Ovis aries: one gene and its partner. The protein of the gene in region 1 purifies or fractionates together with the protein of each later gene. This does not show direct contact. Links are inferred from orthologs where the notes say so. Each region holds a gene or a part of one and is shown in the gene's direction. Other genes may lie near its edges. The genes, in order: TAF15 and HNRNPU.

Evidence for each region.
Region 2: the proteins of TAF15 (region 1) and HNRNPU purify together in Homo sapiens (affinity purification with mass spectrometry; 3 studies listed by BioGRID, with this or other methods). This does not show direct contact. The link is inferred for Ovis aries from reciprocal best matches to the Homo sapiens genes TAF15 and HNRNPU.

What each region holds. Positions count from the first base shown.
Region 1 is NC_056064.1:14,274,394-14,277,597, reverse strand, and holds part of TAF15 (TATA-binding protein-associated factor 2N), read left to right. Parts: intron 1-24; coding exon 25-154; intron 155-2,047; coding exon 2,048-2,140; intron 2,141-2,735; coding exon 2,736-2,817; intron 2,818-2,933; coding exon 2,934-3,204. UniProt on the Homo sapiens protein: RNA and ssDNA-binding protein that may play specific roles during transcription initiation at distinct promoters. Binds to ssRNA containing the consensus sequence 5'-AGGUAA-3'. Can enter the preinitiation complex together with the RNA polymerase II (Pol II).
Region 2 is NC_056065.1:31,686,929-31,691,198, forward strand, and holds the start of HNRNPU (heterogeneous nuclear ribonucleoprotein U), read left to right. Parts: upstream 1-1,280; 5' UTR 1,281-1,514; coding exon 1,515-2,205; intron 2,206-3,042; coding exon 3,043-3,154; intron 3,155-3,235; coding exon 3,236-3,309; intron 3,310-4,270. UniProt on the Homo sapiens protein: DNA- and RNA-binding protein involved in several cellular processes such as nuclear chromatin organization, telomere-length regulation, transcription, mRNA alternative splicing and stability, Xist-mediated transcriptional silencing and mitotic cell progression.

The sequences.
Region 1 (3,204 bases):
AACACCAGCTTGTTCGTCCCTCAGACAAATAAAAAGACTGGAAAACCAATGATAAATCTATACACAGACAAGGACACAGGAAAGCCAAAAGGGGAGGCAACAGTATCGTTTGATGACCCTCCTTCAGCTAAGGCAGCCATTGACTGGTTTGATGGTATACCTCATTCATATACTTTCAGTGTGTGGTTTTGATAAATGTTTTCTGGTCTAGAAGTCAAAATATGTTCTGGTAGACAGTGATTATCTTGCTCTTTACTTTTTTAAATATCCTATTGAGAATACAGGCCAGAATTCTTGTATACCTTTAGAAGTGAGATGAACTGTTTCTTTGTCTAAAATATTTCCTAATGTCATCCTTTGTGCTTCAGGCCACCCTCATAGAAATGTAAAGGGTTGGCCTGGTTGACTATATTCTTTTAAAATTTAGGTTAATTTCCCTTCAAATGCAATGTTGATATGTAGTAGAAGACTAGTACAATAAGACTTTTTTCCCCTGAAAATAAGAAAATATTAAAAAGTAGAAGAAAGGAGTAAAGCTTCCATAGTCTACACAGAGAAAACTACTGGTGTTTCTTCCAGCTCTTTAAAATGTATTTTTAAAATAGTTTTATCATTCTACTCCAAAAGTAATTTTGTCTCATGCTTTTATTTCCTTGATGTCTTATAGTCATTTCCCCATGTTGTAAATTTATTGTTTTTGTTGTACCTTGTAATGGGGCTTCCCAGGTGGCACTAGTGGTGAAGAACCCACCTGCCAGTGCAGGAGAATAACACTGCGTGTTTACTGTAGTTTATGAGCTAGGCATAGTTCTAAGAACTGTATGTGCATTAACTCAGATCTTCATAGTAACTGTTACTTTTTTTTTTATTGCTTTTATTACCATCTTACAGATGATGAAACTCGGGCACAGAGAAGATAAGTTAATTTCCAGGACCACAGAAGAAGTGTAGAGTTAGGGCTCAAACTCAGGCAGTCGGGCTGCATTCTCTCTGAAGAAGTAAATTGCGCCTGATTGAGAGGCACATGTGGTTTCTTGCAGTTCCAAGATTATTGCACCTGTCTTCCAATGCATAGTTGCATTTTGATTTTTTGCTCTAAGCAGATCTTATCCCCTCGCCCTTGAAAGGCCAGGTCCATCCTCCCTCACTATGTGTTTGTTTAGTAGTTTCTGTGACTCATACAACTATTTAGCTTATAATATGTTAGAACACTTTCTCTGTCTTTCCCTCATAGGGCAAATGAGCCTCTTAACAGAAACTCCATAGTTCAGATCTTAATTACCAGGTCTTTGCAGAGCTTTTAAAATATTTATCCATGGTTTGTTTCCTATGTCAAAGAGCTTGCTATACCATTTGACAACTGTGGAAGGTTGCCAGTCATAGCAGTTAGAGTTTGCTGAGAGGGCTAAGGCTCCTAGATTTATAACTATTTTATGAATTCCTTGGGCACCTTTTTCTGATATGTCTGTTCTCTTGTTTAATATATAGAGTGAAAAGGCTAATTTTTGTCTCCAAGGCCCTGGGACAGCAGAATATGTATATATGTACATGTGTATAATCACAAATGCACACATTATTTTTTAAGATACTACTTCAGACGTGGTACCAACAGTATATAGTAAAAAATGAGCTTCCTTTCTAGCTTTTCACCTACTGAGAGTTAAGCAACAATAGGCAGTGTGTAAATAGGCATATGTGTGCATATGCACGCACGCACGTGCGCACACACGCATACACACTCATTCCCTTAAAAAAAGGAATGGTAGCATACTACGTTCATTGGCTTTCAGGTGAAAATGGCTAGACGTGAGCTTTTTTGCTCAGTAAGGAATGGCTGTCTCCCAGGGGCAGATCTGTCCTATGCAGTAGATTGTGTCATGTTCTAGGATAGTCACCTTGACTCTTGAGCGTTGCTGTGTGAATTTCTGTGAGAACATGTGAGGCATTTCTCTGAAATTAAACATTTCCGAGGCAGTTTTATATTTTGTTAAGAGGTGGAAATGTGGAGTAGCATTTCTTCAAAACTATTTTCATTTTTTTCCTTTAGGAAAAGAATTCCACGGCAATATCATTAAGGTGTCCTTTGCCACCAGAAGACCTGAATTCATGAGAGGAGGTGGAAGTGGAGGTGGGCGACGAGGTAAGATTCTTGTTCACAGGCTTGGGTATTACACAGAGGGTTTAGATTTTCTGTCTTAAAGTGAGATACAGAATAGAAGATTAGGTAAATAAAGTGTCATAACTAAGAAAGGATGGAAAAAGGTTCTAGAAATCCCTTTGGAAAGCTATATAATGCAGTTTGTTTCAGTTGGAAATTAGGAGGCAGTTGTTTAACTGATACCTAATTTGGTAGTTAATCTGGCCCAATGTGAGTTCCCTGATACAGTTAGTGCCAACTTGTTTATTTCTGTTGTGTTTTAATTTCTTAAATTTGGAATATGTCATCTCACCTAATCTTTATCACTGAGATTCTCAAACTGAGGAGGGTACTGTAGAAAGAAGTTTCTTAGTGCATTATTTGAACTATAATGTGCACCTTGGAGCTTCTTCCATATTTACTGCATTGACTGAATAAGTAAAGCCCCAAATCAAAGAATCATGGAGTTCTTCCATAAGAGGTTAATCTGGGGGGAGCTGCCCAGTTATTGATGAACACTTAGTTCTTTCACCTGATGCTTTTCCTCTGCTTTGTTAATATCTGCTACTGATTCTTCCCTCCTCCTTACTTATCCCAGGCCGTGGAGGATATAGAGGTCGTGGAGGCTTTCAGGGGAGAGGTGGAGACCCCAAAAGTGGGGACTGGGTTTGCCCTAATCCGTAAGTATCCTATTTACTTTGGTGGATGTAGGGGTTGGGATTGGATTTGCAAGGTGCAGGAGGGGGTTCTGAATCCATTGGAAACTGTTGAGCATTTTATTTTCTTTCTTTCTTAGGTCATGTGGAAATATGAACTTTGCTCGAAGGAATTCTTGTAATCAGTGCAATGAGCCCAGACCAGAGGACTCTCGTCCCTCAGGAGGAGGTGGGTCAGCCTTAACGGCATCTGCTTCTGATCTTCTGGCTAGCATTAAGGAGGCTTTCCATGATTCTGCTGGCCTTATTGGTTTTCATTTCTACCTGCAGATTTCCGGGGAAGAGGCTACGGTGGAGAGAGGGGCTACAGAGGCCGTGGGGGCAGAGGTGGAGACCGAGGCGGCTACGGTG
Region 2 (4,270 bases), on another chromosome or scaffold:
TAATTTCAACTCAAATCATTTCACAAATGTTAATATTTCATCTTCATCTATGACAGCACTGTAAAATACAAGATTCTTAAAAGCCATTGAAGAGAACTTAAAAAATAAAATTTATTAAACTGTACTATGGGAGAAAGTTAAGTGTGTATTTTTCTAAATTTTGAATTAAAATTGGGACAGCCTTGTGCCAGCTAAAGCACGAAGCAATATAGTTGAGCTTAGACTAGACTAGACCACTGGCTAGCCACTGTGCAGATTCTCTGGGGTTTGAGACATTCATGTCTATCACATATCTAAATTCTGGAAAACTGGAAGAACATTAACACACCTCTTAATTTAGTAAAAGGAAAAATTAAACTTCTAAGACACACCAAAATCACATTTTTCTTTGAGAGTGATATTTTTCTTTTCACAAAATCACAGCCTTTTTTTTTTTCATTAGCTTTTATTAGAGCTTTGGCATAATTTTGTCAAAAGTATATCCACAGGAATAGAATCAAAGTGTGTGACCTAGCTGGGGTCTTATCCTCATTGTTAGTTAAGGGGACTTCATAACTGCATGACCAGGTCCTAAATTGGACAGAATAAACCTTACAGGAGGTCTGTCTTCTTGGTAGATGTAAAGAAAACACAGAAATGCAATTCTGAGGCTAACTTCTTTGGCCATTAGTACCATAACAAGGCCTGTAAAGTCCGCTTTGCAGTATGGAGTGGAGGCCACTCTTCAAAAATAAGCATGATCTCCCAAACCCTGCATCAGAGGTCATGGGAGAGACAAAAGAAAGGCCCTTCCTGAGTCTAAAATTCAACTCCCAAGTTAGGATTCAGGAAAATTAAACCAATTATTAAGCAGAAGAAAATCTCCTGCGTATAATGACTGTCAGCTTGTACAAATCAAATCAAAATTTTAAGGGTTCTAAGCAAATAGCTGGAGAAACAGATAAGATAAATCTAAAATGGAAGAAGAGGTGGCGGATTCCAGCTGAAATTACCAAGTTGAAGATGAAAGCATTTGGGTAGAAGCAGCCTCCTGGCCGGAAGGCAAAGAACATAAACGAATATTGCCACCAAAGGGCTGGAAAGGCCAATAGAGGCTGCAGCGGGTCGGTTTAACTGAAGGCGGTTTCCACCTCCTCCATTAGCTGGGCCCCAATTGGAAGCGCAGTGCGCGGCGCCGCGCTCCCGGCCCGCCGCTCGGGCGGGGCGGGGTGGGGCGAGCGCGGGCGCTCTGCCGGCGCAGAGGCGGGGCGGCTATATTACGTGCGCGGTGCCGCCCCTGCGAGAGGACGTTGCGTGCTCGCTCGCGCCAGGCGAGTCTCCGCGTCTCCCTCGCGAACTCGGTGAAAGGAATTGGCGCCGTTCGACACCAGGCGGATCCGCTCTGCAGCACGAACCCACCTCCAGCCGCAGCCGCAGCCGCCGCCCGGGCCGAGGAGCAGCCGCAGCCGCCGCCAGTGGCCGAGTGAGCGGAGCCGAGTTTGAGCCAGCGCCTAGCGGTGAATCGGGGCCTCACCATGAGTTCCTCGCCTGTTAATGTGAAAAAGCTGAAGGTGTCGGAGCTGAAGGAGGAGCTCAAGAAGCGGCGCCTGTCCGACAAGGGCCTCAAGGCCGAGCTCATGGAGCGTCTCCAGGCCGCGCTGGACGACGAGGAGGCCGGGGGCCGCCCCGCCATGGAGCCCGGGAACGGCAGCCTAGACCTGGGCGGGGATTCCGCCGGGCGCTCGGGAGCAGGCCTCGAGCAGGAGGCCGCGGCCGGCGGCGACGACGACGAGGAGGAAGAGGAGGAGGAGGAGGAAGGGATCGCCGCCTTGGATGGCGACCAGATGGAGCTCGGCGAGGAGAACGGCGCCGCGGGGGCGGCCGACTCGGGCCCGATGGAGGAGGAAGAGGCCGCCTCGGAGGACGAGAACGGCGACGACCAGGGCTTCCAGGAAGGGGAGGATGAGCTCGGCGAAGAGGAGGAAGGCGCGGGCGACGAGAACGGGCACGGGGAGCAGCAGCCTCAACCGCCGGCGGCGCCGCAGCAACAACCCCAGCAGCAGCGCGGGGCCGCCAAGGAGGCCGCGGGGAAGAGCAGCGGCCCCACGTCGCTGTTCGCGGTGACGGTGGCGCCGCCCGGGGCGAGGCAGGGCCAGCAGCAGGCGGGAGGTAAGAAGAAGGCGGAAGGCGGCGGAGGCGGCGGTCGCCCCGGGGCTCCGGCGGCGGGTGAGTGCTGCGTGGTTGGTTGCGCGCGGCGGGAGGCCCGCGCGGGGTGGGGACCGTGCCCAGGCCTGCCGGAGCCCCGCAGGGGGGGAGGGAGGAAACCCGCCGCGGGAGGGAGCACCCTCGGGGGCTGGGGACTGCTGGAGGGGGGCGGGCGGGGCGCGGGGAATCCCGGGTTAGGCGTGAGGCCTCGGCTCGGTGTGTGACGGCGGTGGCGGCGCCTCCATTATGTGCCTGGAGAGCCGGGGTGGGGAGGGGGGAGGCTGCAGCTGCCGCTGGAGGGGGAGGAGCCGCGGAGGCGCCGTCGCGCTGCGTGCGCGCGGTGCGGGCACATGTCTCGGGGGGAGGGGAGGCCCGGGGCCCCGGCGGCGCGCCGTGGCGGCTCCGGGCCGCGGTATTGTGCAAGGCGCGCCGGGCTCGGGTGACGTCACTTCCGGCGGGCGGGGCGGGGTCGGGCGGCGCCCGCGGCGAGCAGTACAATGCGGCCGCGGGGAGCGCGGGCCCGGCTGGGGGGAGGGGAGGGCGAGCGGGGCGCTTCGGCCCCTCCCCCTTTCCTGAACACTCTCTGGGGTACACGTGGGCTCCGGGCCTGGGCCGCGCTAAATTTTCATGTGCTTTCTGGAATATTCGAGTGAACTGGCAAAATTAGCAATGTCCTTAGACTGCGTCACTGAATCCAAGCCGATTCCAAGGAGATTGTTGTTTGAATTCGCAGTTGAGTCGTTGATTGAAATCACAATGTACAAGTCGAGTTTTAGGGAACCTCCGACAAGAAAGGGGTTTTCTGCTTGTTGTGGCGGCGTGCCGTGGTGTCTTATACAGCGGTGTCATGTGTTGTAGGAGACGGCAAAACAGAACAGAAAGGCGGAGATAAAAAGAGAGGTGTTAAAAGACCTCGAGAAGATCATGGCCGTGGCTATTTTGAGTACATTGAAGAGAACAAGTATAGCAGGTAGAGATGCTAACCTAGTTTTGGCACCTGTTCATTATTCTTTGGGGAAGGTTGTATCAGGAGACAATTCTGTCTTTTCAGAGCCAAATCTCCTCAGCCACCTGTTGAAGAAGAAGATGAACACTTCGACGACACAGTGGTTTGTCTTGATACTTGTAAGTGAAGCTGTTTCTTCCCCGTTCCTCCCTTAGTTATCAAATATGGTTTTTGGTTACAAAATGTTAGAAAACTTAATGCGTATAAAGGGTTCTTTTAAAATTGGAAAGATGGTGGCTTTTATTCAGATTCTGGTCACTTAATTTAGTCCAGCAGTTATATTGATAGTTTTAGAGGCTCCAGCAATTTGATAATTTTTTGGTATGATATTAAAATTCTCATTTGTAGGAATGTGAAATGAATGCCAATATTTGACTGTGTAGCTAATGGAAACTTGTAAGACTACCTATAATTTCTCCCTGTAGGGTCTACAGTAAAAGTAATGTGGTTTTTTTTTTTTTTTTTGTGGAATTATGTTAAGTGAGCTACTTGGGCTAGTTAAGTATTTATTAATGACTTTCCCATTAGCACATCACTATATTCCCTATTCTGAAAGATTGTAATATTACTTTCTCAATAACTGCTCTTTTGTTCTCAATTCCAGTTCAGTAGCTGCTGCTTTAACCTAAGTTGGTTTCTTCCAAAGACCTGGGGCAGCAGCAGTGGGCTATCACTGGGCCACTAGCTTTCTTCAGCAGCGAATGGTATCAATGGCAGCGCTGTAAATACTGCTACTTTACCCAGTTGGGTTGCAATTGAGTATGAGGAAGTATTGCAAACCTCTAAATGGGCCTTGGCAGTCAGATTCCTCATTTTTCTCACATACAAAATCATTGATTTAGTATTTTGATCAGAAAGTACAATTTTGTGATAAACAGAAAAAAGGGTAGAAATAATTGCCTAGAGGTAAGGTGTCATCCTGTCCTGTAGATCTAAGGAGTTGAATCTTAGATTCTCCTGTTTTGGAATACCTATTTTATTTAGATGTGTATGGTAGTGTAAATGTAAGTCTCTTTACTACATACTGTTTACATATAGTCAATGTAGTGGAATCTTTTATTTTGAACTGTATATGGAAGA